2 linked regions of the Diceros bicornis minor genome follow. The protein of the gene in region 2 interacts with the protein of the main gene of each other region in a pairwise test. Links are inferred from orthologs where the notes say so. Each region holds a gene or a part of one and is shown on either strand. Other genes may lie near its edges.

Region 1 (7,666 bases), on a different chromosome or scaffold from region 2:
TAGAGGTATTAGTAAGAGTGAGACTTACAAAATTTTGTATGAATTGTTTACAATAGAATACCACAGACTTCCTCAAGATATGACAGGTGAGAAGGGGCCTGAAAGTTTGCATAAGTCAGTATTGAGGAACACTTCTTTAAATGGAAGGGAAATCTGTGGCAGACATACCACAGTCCATACCCTGCCCAGATACTTGGACATAATTTCCTCCAAATTGGACTGATACTCTGGGAGAGGTAATTTGTCAAGAAAAATTGCCCCATAGCACCAGAAATTGTGAGTGTTCTCAGGTGGTACAGCATTATCAATGCCTGATAAGGATTATGACTTGCAGCCAAACCAAGCCCTGAGCTGTTGGCAATTTTCTGGGGGGAGAAAATATAGGGAGAGGATGGAGGGTGCATGAGGCCCTGTACCTCAGAGGTCATGGGTAGCTCTAGATCTCTGAATGCCTGTGTCTGTGGCCAACTACCCAGCAACATTTAGACTGGATCTAGTTATGTCAGAGTGGCACAGGATAAATGACTGAAGATGCACTGAGAGGTGGAAAAAGACCTCTGCAAGTGTTGACATAAGAGAGGCTGTTGCAGAGGGGTGAGGGTGAACACCAGCAAAACAGGTTAAATTGGAATGACAGGTTATTTTCAGTGGAAATTGAGACTGTGTGAGAAGTTGGAAGGTCCTCTGGAATTCTTGCTCTGAGTAAAATTAATATGGAAGAGAAAGAAATGGGGGAGGGGGTTGCCTTTAAGACTCCTAAAAATAGTTTGAGGGCACACAGCAAGCAACTGAAAGTCCAGTTCAGGCCTTAAGTGAGGGGTGTGTGTGTGTGGCTCACCTCATGGCCATGTCTGTGACACTAAAGACTCTTGAGAGTGTGGACAGTTGGACCCTCTCTTCTGTCAGAAGCTTATAAGGGCTGAGAGTCCTTGCAAACTGTCATGCCCATTACTGTACAAGTGTGGAGGAGATAAGCAAAGCAGGTTGGCTGTAACACCAGGCAAACCACCCTCTTATGCTGAGAAAGTTTAGTCTATGTGACAGACAAAACCCACAACAATATGCATATTCTCAGCCTTTCAGTCTTTATTACCCTCTAGGAGGGAGACCTCTGTCACTGTCCTGGCACCTATGCAGACCAGGGGAATGAGGGACAGAAGCCAAGGAGCTGAAACCAGGACAAGGAGTTTCTTCTTGCAGAAGAGAAAAAGAATTCACCCTGGAAGTGAAGGGGTTGGGGGAGTGAAAAAGCAAGGGCCAGGCTTGAGAGAAAGTTTGGGGGTGTTTGGGGAGAATGGAAACAGAATGGCAGCAACAGCTATGCCATAATATGTGAGATGAATAGAGAAGGAGGGAAGAGAAGTTTAAGATGTTTTGCTCTGTGCTAGGAAGGCAAACTCCTTAAGAGTTTTACCAGAGACTATATTAAAAATCCAAAGTGCTTTTTAATTCTTTTTGGCCATTGGATGTGTTTCTTTTCAATGTGATATGCTGAGATGGGCCACAAGGCAACTCAGCTTCATAAAAGTTACATTTGGGGAGTATTGTGGATCTAAGGTGCAGCAGTCAGCTGTACCTTGATTTTGACCATCATTCTAGATTTGAGTCAAGTGAGCATCTTCATCATGACCATTGGATTTATAGTGCAAACAGTACACTGGCTATATAAAATAGAGACTGGAGATAAACTAAACATGAGATAGAGGAAAATGGCAGAGACTACTAAGAACCACAACTTGTGATGTTTGGAACTAGGTGTACCTGACAGAGACCTAAATCTATGCAGCATGGAGTGCCCTCCCCCAATTGGCTGGTGAGACTGGGATGAAGGAATATAACGGCTAAGGCAATTCCCATAGGATAAAAGAAAGGCAAAAAACAGAAGAGGAGCGTGTAGGGCTTATTTTTCTCTCTACGTGGCATACTTGCTATGTGTGAATACTCTAGTGACATGGCCAGAGTATCCATTTAGCCCACTTTTGCTTGGGAATGGATCCACTCAACAAACCCTAGGGCATTGGCATCCAGAGGGCCCAGCCCTGTAACCCAGCCAGCTGACTGAGGCTCCGCTTTGCTTTCTGCATCTGTCCCCCTTATTTTTCTGAGACTAGACCTTTCTTCCATTTTCGCTTGTCTCACTTTCCACACAGAATTCCTAAAATGATCTGGTTCTGAATCTGATGCACCAATGGTCTCCTCCTTATATTTTCAAGTCCTGCTACTAGTCCACTCCCCCAGTTCCCACCTACCCTTGGCTCTCAAATGTCTGACCTGGAACTTGACTGGATCAGCCACACCCCTTGATCTCTGCACCTGTTTCCTATGTTCTTTCATGCTTCTCCAATACTTCCCCCTCCCTCTAGGCTCAGACTCCCTGTACTCTCAGCAGACTTCATGCCAGTGCCTCTGGGCAGCATGATGTAATCCTATGCTGAAACCCTTGACACACAGGGTATCCTTAACAATAGTGGCAAAGGACATTGTATGATGGCATAACCCAGCTCCTACTGTCTAGGGGCTATGTTTAATGTATAGTTAAGCCTAAAATGGGAGGTCCTATACTGGGGACAGGATCACTCCTTGTAGATAGAAGGCAGGGACCCACCTGAAGGGTAAGGGAGCTGGCAAGATGAAATCATCCATGTGAAGTGCTGGTCAAGAGATGTGAAGTAACAGACCCAGACAAAAAAAAAAGAAAGTCATGTCAGTCTTTTCTGGCTACTGCAGAGCTCTCCTGGGAAGGATGAACAGAGGGTGGAACCTGTATGAGCTGAGAACATGCTTGCTGTAGTATGATCAGAAACTTATGCTGTGTAAGCTCAGCTGTTTTTTGTTTTGTCTCTGTTTCTAGTTTTCCTATAGTTTTTTTGGTAAAGTTTTTCAAAATACCAGCCCACTTCCGGTGTGCTTAGGGAAATCAAGGAAAAGCATTTCTGTCTTCTCCTGAACTTTAGGAATAACCTGTGGGGCACATGGTGGAGGTAGGAGTGATAACCAAGGTGAGAGCACCTCAAGTTTGTGCAACGAAGGAAGGAATGAACAAGCAAATGGGATTGAATCATTTGTTTTAGAAAATACAATACTGTAGGGTTTTTAATTTGTTCATATATTTGTTTTGGGGAAATCAAATTTCTAATGGTTGCATAATACTTTATTATATCAGCAATGCCTTAAACATTTTGTTGTTTAGACTATTTCCCCATTTATTTCTATTTTGACAGCAGCAAGACACGCATAGGTCAAACAGTTTTTTAGTGCCATAAAAGTTTCTCTGGGTCAGCCCCACTCTTCAGCATTAGAGTATGCAACCAGGGAAACACCAAGGTAATACAATTGCTATGGTTGAACCACTAGTATACAAAATGCTCACCCATTCCTAGCTTTTCCCCATCTTGAAGTGATGTGGCTTGTTTCTCCTCTCCAGATTTGTTTTTGTGAACTTCATTTTTGGTTTCTGACTACTTGGTTTCTCCAGTTTATTAAGGTCATTATTAGTTAGTATGCTGCTGCCCATGTGCTGTTTGCTTCTTAATCTGAAGTCATCTGTAAATACATTAAACTCAATTTTTCTTCTTCCTCCTCCCCTTCCGCTCCATCCCTCAAATAGGGAAAGGAGTCATCACACAGGTTGAGACACTCAGTGTATGCAGTCTGTACAGGGGCACTGGGCCTGCAGAGGGGGAATGACGCTCACACACAGTCCCCCCATCCATCCCTTACATTGTCAACAACTCACCCTTTCACCTGTGAGCTGACACAGAGTGTAATTCAGAGGTAGAAATAATATTATAGATTATACAGTACAATTCCCTAACAGATCAGGAAAATGATTTATTCAAGGTCTCTGAATTAATAAGCGGCAAAAACAAAACTGAATTCAGGTCTCCTAAAATCCACTACGTGTAGGCGGAGAGTTCCAGATGAGAGAATGGGACATAGTGGTTCTTGTTCAAGTATTCAGTCAACAAATGTATTGAGCATTTACGTACTTACTACGTGCCAGGCACTATTTTAGGTGCTGGGGATTCCGTGATGGAGGGCGCAGAGGTGACAAAAATCCCTGCCCGTATGGAGCTTTCGTTCTCAAAATTTAAGTACTTTGCCTTACCATCCTGGAAAAACTCCCAGAGCCCTGGGTAGGAGCAGTTGAGTCTCATATGGGAGGGAATCCCATCCTTTCTCAGCTCCTGTGCTATCAACAGCTAGAGGGGTGATTTACTGCAGAAGCCGAAGGGAGAGGGGAAACCTCCGTAGTCCCCTCCCCTGCCTCTGCATCGCCAACGCCGGGCGGGGCAGGCTCCAGGGCGCCACCGTGCCCCAGCTCAAGTCTGAGATTATTAGCATCAGCCTCTCTACCCTCTCTGCTCTCCTGCGGACGGCTGGAGGACAGAGAAGCAGGTCCCGGCTCTAGCGCCCTCTTCTAAAAAAGGACTGCAGGCGGGTGAAAATCCTTCCAAGGCAGTCGCGTTCAGAATCTAGTATCCAGCCTGGTAGAGGGACGATCTCTCCCAGACCTGAGGGTTTATGCAGCAAATTGCTCTCTCATGCTTCCCTATTAAACATTGCAGCCACACGCTCTTTCCAGCCTCAGCTGAGGTCACTGCAGCGTCCCCCCCACCCCGCACCCCCCAACCCCCGCTGGCTCAGACTCCAGAACTCCACTGCAGCTTCCCCACCATCCTCCTTTTCCTTCTCTACTTCCTGGTTGCCATGGAGACACACGTCATTTACGTGGCGTGCGTCGCCTTGGAAACACAGGAGCATCCGCGGCGCGGCTGGGAGACCCGCCTCTGCCGCTCCTACCACACTTCGCGAGCGCTGCTCGTTAATGGCCGGGGAGAGTCCCGAGCCGGACCCGCTGCTGGCCTCAGCCTCCACCCGGGCCCCTACGCGAGCGCTTCTGTGACTCAGGACACCGGCGGGCACTTGCTGCTGTGGCGTCCGCAGGGCGGCGCTGACACAGGCGCAGTTCAGGAGGGGAGGCAGGGCAGGGCGCTTTCGCCCCAGGGCGAGCCGGAGAGACGCCGGCCTTGGGACTCTCCTCGGGTGCTCGTCCCACCGGCGCTTCCCGGCCTCCGCCCATCCTGCCCTCGCCCTCCGCCCGGGACTTGGCTCCTCACTTCGGCTCCCCACCCGTCTCGGGAGCCTCCTCTTCCCTCGGCTCCTCCCCGCCCATCTGAGGACCTGTCCCCCTTCCCGCCCCTCCCCCACCCTGGACGCCGGGCTGGACCGGACCCAGAGCCGCCACCGCCCGTTTCTGCCACTCAATGGAGGACGGTCTGCTGGAGATCATGACCAAGGACGGCGGCGAAATGCCGGCACCTCTGGAGGTGTCCACCGTGCCGGCCGTGGGGGACGTGATCTCCGGGGAGTACAACGGCGGCATGAAGGAACTGATGGAGCACCTGAAGGCCCAGCTGCAGGCCCTGTTTGAGGACGTGAGAGCCATGCGGGGGGCCCTGGACGAGCAGGCCTCGCACATCCAGGTGCTCTCGGACGACGTGTGCGCCAACCAGCGGGCTATCGTCTCCATGTGCCGGATTATGACCACCGCGCCCCGCCAGGGCGGCCTGGGCGTGGTCGGCGGCAAGGGGAGCTTCTCGGGGCCCCCCCAAGAGACGGAGACCCCTTCGCCTGGGATCGGGGACAGCGATTTGCTGGGTCGCCATCCTGAGGACGAGGAGGATGACGATGAAGAAGAGGAAAAGGAGATGCCCAGCTCCGCCACACCCACTAGTCACTGTGAGCGCCCCGAGAGCCCCTGTGCTGGTCTCCTTGGGGGGGACGGGCCACTTGTGGAGCCCCTCGACCTCCCCGACATTACCCTGCTGCAGCTGGAGGGTGAGGCCTCTCTGTGAGGGGACTCGGAGGGGGCATTACTTTCCTGGGCTGGCTTTGGGTTTCCGAGTGCATGACGGAGGGGACTGAACGGCGCGGTGCAGCGTGCTTTACTCCGACCGCTGCTCTTGTGGGTCAGGCAGAGAGAGACTCCCTCGAGGAAGGATTTATAGGGTGAAGGACTTTGGGAGCATGGAGAATTCTTTCTGCCTAACCAAGCGAGACGTAGCAAACTGCGGAAAGGTGAGGTTCCGGGAGAGGAAGCGCCTACCTCTGGACTCCCATTCACCCCCTACTCTGCCCTTTCCCCCTTCCCAGCCAACAGGAGAACCCCCGAATTGTGTAAATAAAATTCTGCTTTTTCTATTCTGAAAAAGGACTTATCTAGGACTATGGCAAATAATCTCTAACGATTTACCTAGAAATTAAGGAATTGGGGGTATTCTGTTCTGGCAACAGAAAATTTACCCTTCTGCTGAAATCCAAGATATTCAGCGCTCTGCAGAAGCCTCTCCCCCTCACAGATCTCTGCGCCTGCTGATTGGTAAAGGAAGCTGGAGGAGGGAACTGCAGCCCTAGGAATCTGGGTGAATGGGGTTCCAAGGGCCCCTGGGCGGGGAGGAGCTGGCTATGAATGTGCATGAAGACATAATAGCTCAACCTCTAGGATTTTGCATGCAGAGCGGATCCTGCCTTGTCACTGACTTCATCTGGGATTGCTTTATCTACTCACTGGGGCTTAGAGAACAAAGCGCCCAGTTCACAGGCAGAGACTTGGGGGTGCTCAGCAACAGCTCAGATTTAGGGGACATTTGAGGGACTCTTGGGGGCTGCAGCCAAAAACCGTCTCTCTCCTGGCTACACCCGCTTAACTTCAGTTCTTTTTTCTGTCAATATGTCCCTGCCCACTGCCTCTCGGTGTTGCCTCCATAAAGTCTTGTGTGTGTTATGTGTGTCGACTTGTGTAGTAGTGTGTGAGCCCTGAGGGGCAGGGCTTGTGGCTCTGGTGTTAGGTTCAGGGGGCATCAGACCCTTTTGTGAGCCCCAGGCTATCATGGCACTTTCCCCTCTCTTTTCCTCTTTTCCCCCACAACCAGGGCATGGAGCATGTGGCTGTCCTGAGGTTCTTAACTGATGTGCCTCCCTCCCACCTCAAGTGGTGACTTTGTGTGCCCTTCCTCCTCCTCTGTGTATTCCTTCTCAATGCTTTCCTTGGTGTTAACCTTAATAAAGAGGCGTCATCTCCCCTCCTTGCTGACTGGTACTAGGGGGATGTCAGGGTGGGGCTTCTGGGCCCACTGCATGGACCAGGGCTTCCCTCCTCTCTCTTTGCCTCCAGTTTCAAGGAGTTAACCATCCTTGCCCTGGTTGGGACACACATTGCCAACTCTGTCTGCTTTCTCTTCCATCCTGGACCTTGACCTCAAGCTGGACTAGGGAAGGAGCGAGTACGTGTTGAGACTCCCAAACTAACAAGGGTTTTTAGTAGCCACAACTCCAGATGTGCAAGAGACTTCTTTTCAGTGAAGCACCTGACCCCTGGGAGATGATTTCCAAATTGGAGTCCTGGAATGGCAGGAATGACACCTGTTCCACTGGAGGGTAAGGGAGGGGTTCTTGTTTGGCAGGGACTGCTCTGGGAGTAGAGTGACACATCACAAAGGAAACCACAATAACTGCCTCAGGCCTCTAGTGGAGAATGCTGGTAAGGTGTTCCCCAGGGAGCTTAGACTGACATCAGCTCTAGTCTGCTCCCTTGGGTGCTGGAGATTTCCTGAGGCTGCCCTAAACAATATTTGGGAGAAGAATGATCTGGGGTGCTGTGTAT
Region 2 (7,576 bases):
CCTCATTTGAACGTGCCGTCTTGTTTCACATTGGGACTCTAACTGATCAAGCATTCTTAATTAGTAGCTAGAGCACAGCGTCCAAATCCTTGTTCTGAAAATTTTATACCTACAGTCCTTACAAAAATATTCCCTGGGGGTCAGCCCGGTGGCATAGCCGTTAAGTTCGCACGGCCCACTTCAGTAGCCCAGCTTTCGTGGGTTCCGATCCTGGGCACAGACATACTTACCGCTCATCAAGCCGTGCTGAGGAGGCGTCCCACGTAGAAGAGCTACAACTCTACAACTATGACACACAACTACGTACTGGGGCTTTGGAGAGAAAAAAGAAAAAGAGGAAGATTGGCAATAGATGTTAGCACAGGGCCAATCTTCCTAAAAAAAGTTCCCTGATGTTACTGTCATCTCTTTATTTCTTCTTTTTTTTTTTTAAACTTTATTTATTTATTTTTCCCCCTAAAGCCCCAGTAGATAGTTGTATGTCATAGTTGCACATCCTTCTAGTTGCTGTATGTGGGACACGGCCTCAGCATGGCCGCATCGGTGCACGCCCGGGATCTGAACCTGGGCCACCAAGGAGCGGAGCACGTACACTTAACCGCTAAGCCACGGGGCCAGCCCTCATCTCTTTATTTCAATCCACTGGTTACCTTTATGAAGAAACCATGTTGTACATCATATTATATAAATTTTTCTTCAGTACACTTAGACTAGAAAAATATTCTCAAATTCACAGGTAAATCTTTTTGCATATAGCTTCTCTACATAAAATGTAATTTACAGAAATATATAAATAAGACTTTAAAGTAAATAGGTTAATTTTTATGGTTTTAAATATTTCAATAGCTAATAACTTAAAATTACTTCCAGGTGTATGAGGAAATCTGTACTTCAGTACTGCAAACAAGCCATCGTTACTCAACGTACACAGCTTACCAGAGAACACAGTTTCTAACTCGTTCCTGTACACTGAATGTTTGTGTCCCCAAAATTCTTATGTTAAAACCTAATCCCCAGTGTGATGATATTAGAAGGTGGGGACTTGGGAGGTGATTAGGTCATGAGGATGGAGTGCTCATGAGTGGGATTAGTGCCCTTGTAAAAGAGGCCCCAGAGAGCACCCTTGCCCCTTCCTCTGTGTGAGGACACAGCAAGAAGATAGCCATCTATGAACCAGGAAGCGTGCTCTCATCAGACACTGACTCTGTCAGCACCTTGATCTTAGATTTCCCAGCCTCCAGAACTGAGAGAAATAAATTTCTGTTGTTTATAGGCCACACAGTCTAGAGTATTTTTGTTATAACATGTAACCCAGATAAACTAAGCCACCCTTGAAACACAAGATTTAATTGTACAATTATTAGCAAACATAAATCATTAAAAAAGTACAAACTCCATAATGCTAATACCTGTATTAAAGATAACAAATACTTATTGTTCAGTTACAATGTGCCAAGCATGGTGTTAATGTTTTCATATAATTTAATTCTCAACGCAAATTTTTGAAGTGTGCACAACTCAACCCCATTTGGCAGAGGAGGAAATGAGCTGTAAACGTCCAATGTCCCTGCATCAGCAAGCAAAGGACTCTAGGTTCAAATCCCAGCGTCTGACATGGAAGTCTGCACTCTTAGCCATCAATAAAGAATCCGGGAACAACATCGAAGACCACAGAAGAAGCAAAAAATAAGACCTTTCCAAAGCAAATGATTTCTTTTATCCTGTTACCTGCACTCAAAGAGCAATGTCAAAATCTAAGTAAGCCTGGAAAAATTACTAAGAAAAAAAAAGAAAGAAAAGAATGCAATAGATAACTCTCATAGAAAACCAAATTTCTTGTTGTTTAGTAAGCTTACTTTTCTGTGGATGGTACACAAGGAAGGGTAGGAAACAAGTGGTGGAAATTGCACTATTTTGGTGTTAGTTACATTTTATCCCTGCCTGCAATTCCTGAAATGACACTGTTGTATTTTTATTCTAACCCAAATTGCAGTTAAGTGAAAACTTTCCTCTAATATATTGGCATACTTGCTGTAAGAGGCCTGAAGTTGAGCATGTACTAGCTGCTCTAAGCATACAAATTGAACATTCTCCCTGAAAAAGAACAGGCTGAAAAATTGGGTCTAGAGATAGTATAACTGATCCGCTTAACAGTTCCTAATAATTTTTCTGTAGCTGTGATTTTGCATAACAGGTTGCAAAAGTATTTTTAGATGAGACTGTTACTCAACAGTCACTTCTGGTAAACCCCTTTTTACACCATCACGCTGTCCTGCGGAACTGTTAATAGTGAAACAGAAAAGCATAAACAGAATGTAACAAATAAGCAGTGCCTTTTCCAGACAATAGTTTAGTCATAAGCCTTTAATTATTGATTTTGAATTTGAACAACTAAATTAGTTCTCAACAAGTGTAATTTTCACTAGATAGACTAAACTTTTTTACATTAATATTTTGTTCATGTAGATGAATTTGTGCTACCGGTTTATAAACTAGGTATTTCTATACCAAAAAGCCTTACTTTGGGGCTGAGACATGGTTTTCGTCTCTTTTTCCTCCTCTTCATCCATTTTGTCCCCTTGCTGCAGCTGCACGTCTTTACTTGTCTGATTTCCCTTTGGGTCTCTCTTCAGACGGACAGATTCCCTCCTCAAAGATGGCTCATAATTCCTGTGAGTTCATGGACCACAGCCAGCATCCTTCCGTGATCCTAAAGGAAATATAATAGTACAATATTGGCACCACAAAAACCAAACGTGTTTCAAATGATGAATATGTTTTTAAGATGAACTCACTAAAGTGATACAGTGAAAACAGATCGACATCTGAGAAGTGACCTCACGGATTCAACAGACAGTCTTTCCTTGAGCATACCTGCCTTTGGGATGATGATCTTGTTGAGGACACCTTGGAGAAGCTGACAGATGTTCCTGTCAGTCCACAGCTCCTTACCTTACTTCTGTGCCCCGAGTATGAGGAGGAATCTTTCACAGGAGTTGACACGGCGTTGCATCACTGGCTCTGGGTGTTGAAAGCAGGTCACTCCAGCTGATTTCTTTAAAGCCTCTTTTCTACAAGTTGGTGATGGGCAAAGGTGAATTATGAAACAGGAACTTTTGCCACAGCTCTACATCCCCAGTCACAAAGAAACATTTACAAAACAAATGCCCTCATCCAAATCGGAATTCATGATTGATTACAGTGCAAATGTGAGTGAGGGACATAATCTATTCACGCCTTATTTCTTTCATGGTCCTAGTACACCACCTTCCAACTTAAGTAATGAGTGGACCCTTCTTCAAGGAAAAAGAAGATACGGCACCTGGTGTTAACAGGTTATTTCTACTCTGTTAGCTGAATATAATATAAATACAATATTAGTTACATAAACATGGTATAAATTCCTTATGGCTCCAAACCAATCTACACATAAAAACTATAAAATTAATAATATTAAAATAAACAGCATTGATTTAATATCGTTTTGATGAAGTGAAACCAAAATTGTTTGTTCTAAAATTAAAATGTGCATTGGGGTATTTTGTATTTCACTTGTCATCTATACAATTCCCTTTATTTTGAAGACAATAGACACTCATTTGAATGATCTTCATCATCGTTGCTATGATTTTTCCTTTTAAAGTACATGCATCTTGAATCATCAATCCATGAATTTTTTTCAGCTTTATTGAGGTATAATTGACAAATATAATTGTAAGATATTTAAAGTGTGCATTGTGGTGATTTGATATATGTATGCATTGTGAAAAAATTCCCACCATCTAGTTAGTTAACATATCCATCACCTCCCATATTTATCTTTTTTTTTTTGAAGAGAACATTTAAGTTTTACTCTCTTAGCAAATTTCAGTTGTATAATACAGTGTTATCAACCATAGTTACCACGTCTACACTGGATCCTCATCCAATTCATCTTATAGCTGAATGTTAGTACTCTTTTACCTACCTTCCCTATTCCCCCCACCCCCCAGCCCCTGGCAATCCCTTTTCAATTCTCTTTGTATGAGTTTGACTCCTTTTTTTTTTTAGATTCCATATATAAGTGATACCATGCAGTATTTGTCTTTCTCTATCTGGCTTATTTCACTTAACATAATACCCTCAAGTTCTATCCATGTTGCTATAAATGACAGGATTTCCTTCTTTCTCATGGCTGAGTAATATTCCATTGTACATATATATACTATATCTTCTTTATTCATTCATTTGATGATGGACATTTAGGGTGTTTCCATATCTTGGCTATTGTGAATAATGCTGCAATAAACATGAGAGTGTGGATGTCTCTTCGAAGTCCTGTTTTCATTTCCTTTGGATATATACCCAGAAGTGGGATTGCTGGATCATATGGTAGTTCTATTTTTAATTTTTTGAGGAACCTCCATATTGTTTCCCATGGTGGCTGCACCAATTTACAATCCCACCACCGGTGCCCAAGGGTTCTTTTCTCCACATCTATGGCCAAAACTTATTAGCCCTTGTCTTTTTGATGATAGCCATTCTAACAGGTGTGAAGCGATATATCATTATGGTTTTGGCTTGCATTTTCCTAATGATTAGTGATGTTGAGCACAGGTACTTTTCATGTACCTGTTGATCATCTACATGTCTTCTTCTGAGAAATATCTATTCAGTTCCTCTGCCCATTTTTTAATCAGATTGGTTTTTCTGCTATTGAGTTGTATGAGTCCTTTATATATTTTGGATATTAGCCCCTTCTCAGATAAATGATTGGCAAATATTTTTCCCATTCCATAGGTTGCCTTTTCATTTGGTTGATGGTTTCCTTTGCTGTGCAAAAGTTTTTTATTTGGTGTAGTCCCTCTTGTTTATTTTTGCTTTTGTCGACTTTGCTTTTTTTTTTTTTTTTTGCTGAGGAAGATTCGGCCTGAGCTAACATCCACTGCCAATCTTCCTCTTTTTGTATGTGAGCCACTGTCACAGCATGGCCACTACAGAAAAGTGGTGTAGGTCCGCACCCAGGAACCGAACCTGGGCCACTGAAGCAGAGTGAGCTGAACTTAGCCACTAGGCCACTGAGGCTGTTCCTTGTTGACTTTGCTTTTGGTGTCAAATCCAAAAAATCATTGCCAAGACTGATGTCAAGGAGCTTACCCTCTATGTTTTCTTCTAGGAGTTTTCTGGTTTCAGGTCTTACGTTTAAGTCTTTACTCCATTTTGTACTGATTTTTGGGCATGGTGTAAGATAGGGGTCCAATCTCATTCTTTTGCATGTGGCTGTCCAGTTTTCCCAACACCATTTATTGAAGAGACTGTTCTTTCCCCATTGTATAGTCTTAACTCCTTTGTCATAAATTAGTTAATCATATATGTGTGAGTTTATTTCAGGGATCTCTATTCTGTTCCCTTGATCTGTGTGTCTGCTTTTATGCCAATGCCATATGTTTTCATTACTATAATTTTGTAATAGAGTTTAAAATCAGGAAATGTGATGCTTTTACCTTTGTTCTTTCTCAAGATTGCTTCTGCTATTTGGGGTCTTTTGTGGTTCCATACAAATTTTAGAATTATGTGGCCTATTTCTGTGAAAAATGGTGTTGGAATTTTGATAGGGATTGCATTGAATCTGTAGACTGCTTTGTGTAGTATGGACCTTTTCACAATATCAATTCTTTTCAATCTATGAACATGAAATATCTTTCCATTTAGTTGTGTTTTGTTCAATTTCTTTCACCAATGTCTTATAGTTTTTAGTGAACAGATCTTTCACCTCCTTGGCTAAATTTATTCCTAGATATATTTTTTTTGATGCAATTGTAAATGGGGTTGTTGTCTTAATTTCTCTTTCTAATAGTTTGTTATTAGTGTATAGAAATGCAACTGATTTTTGCATGCATATTTTGTATCCTGCAATTTTACTGAATTCACTTATTAGTTTCAACAGTGTTTTAGTGGATTCGTTAGGGTTTTCTACATATAATATCATATCATCTGCAAATAGTGACACTTTTGCTTCTACCTTTTCAATTTGTATGACTTTTATTTATTTTCTTGCCTAATTGCTCTGGCTACGACTTCCAGTACGATGTTGAATAAAAGTGAAGAGAATGGGCATCCTTGCCGTGTTCTTGATCTTAGAGGAAACGCTTTCAGCTTTTCACCATTGAATATGATGTTAACTGTGGGCTTGTCCTATATGGTCTTTATTATATTGAGGTACATTCCCTCTGTACTCACATTGTTGAGAGTTTTTATTATGAATGAATGTTGCATTTTGTCAAATGCTTTTTCTGCATCGAGATGGTCATGATTTTCATCCTTTGTTTTGTTAATGTGGTGTATTACATTGATCGATTTGGGGATGTTGAACCATCCTTGCTTCCCTGGAATAAATCTCACTTGATCATGGTGTGTGATCCTTTTAATGTATTGTTGAATTTGGTTTGCTAATATTTTGTTAAGGATTTTTGCATCTGTGTTCATCAGGGGTATTGGCCTGTAATTTTCTCTTCTTGTAGAGTCTTTGTCTGGTTTTCATATCAGGGTAATGCTGGCCTTGTAAAACAAGTTTGGAAGTGTTCTCTTCTATTTTTTGGAAGAGTTTGGGAAGGATAGGTATTAATTATTCTTTAAATGTTTGGTAATATTCACCAGTGAAGCAACGTGGTCTTGGACTCTTGTCTGCCGGAAGGTTTTTTATTACTGAATCAATCTCCTTAGAAGTAATTGATCTATTCAGATGTTCTATTTCTTCATGATTCAGTCTTGGTAGGTTGTATGTTTCTAGCAATTTATCCATTTCTTCTAGGTTGTCTAATTTGTTGGTATATAATTGTCTCTTATAATCTTTTGTATTTTTGTGGTATCAGTTGTAACATCTCCTTTTTTATTTCTTTTTTTTTTTTTTGCTGAGGCAGATTCACTCTGAGCTAGCATCTGCTGCCAATTTTCCTCTTTTTGTATGTGAGCCACTGCCACAGCATGGCCAATACGGACGAGTGGTGTAGGTCTGCACCCAGGAACCAAACCCGGGCCGTTGAAGCGGAACACACTGAACCTAACCACTAGGCCACTGGGGCTGGCCCTTCTCTTTCATTTATGATTTCATTTATTTGAGTCCTCTCTTTTTCTTGGTGAGTCTAGCTAAAGGGTTGTCCATTTTGTTTATCTCTTTAAAAAACTAGCTCTTAGTTTCATCGATTTTTTTTCTGTACTGTCTTTTTAGTCTCTACTTCATTTATTTCCACTTTGATCTTTGTTATTTCCTTCTTTCTACTAACTTTGGGTAGTTTGTTCTTCATTTTCTAGTTCTATGAGATGTAAAGTTAGGTTGTTTATTTGAACTCTTTCTTTTTCTTAATGTAGGGGTCTATTGCTATGAATTTCCCTCTTAGAACTGCTTTTGCTAATCTCATATGTTTTGGTATGTTGTGCTTCCATTTTCATTTGTTTCAAGATATTTTTTGATTTCTCTTTTGACTTATTTTTGACCCATTAGTTGTTCAGTAGCATGTTGTTAAATCTCCACATATTTGTGAATTTTCCAGTTTTCTTTTTGTGATTGATTTCTAGTTTCATATCATTCTAGTTGGAA

The links.
Region 1: the proteins of STX11 (region 2) and CCDC184 interact in binary tests that used the Homo sapiens proteins (3 or more experiments, as listed by UniProt). The two-hybrid records come from large-scale screens. The link is inferred for Diceros bicornis minor from reciprocal best matches to the Homo sapiens genes STX11 and CCDC184.

The regions. Positions count from the first base shown.
Region 1 is NC_080756.1:21,742,877-21,750,542, reverse strand, and holds CCDC184 (coiled-coil domain-containing protein 184), read left to right. Parts: upstream 1-4,930; 5' UTR 4,931-5,267; coding exon 5,268-5,858; 3' UTR 5,859-7,081; downstream 7,082-7,666.
Region 2 is NC_080778.1:23,344,339-23,351,914, reverse strand, and holds the start of STX11 (syntaxin-11), read right to left. Parts: upstream 3,046-7,576; 5' UTR 2,953-3,045; exon of another isoform or gene 2,875-2,952; intron 2,711-2,874; 5' UTR 2,571-2,710; coding exon 2,522-2,570; intron 1-2,521. UniProt on the Homo sapiens protein: SNARE that acts to regulate protein transport between late endosomes and the trans-Golgi network.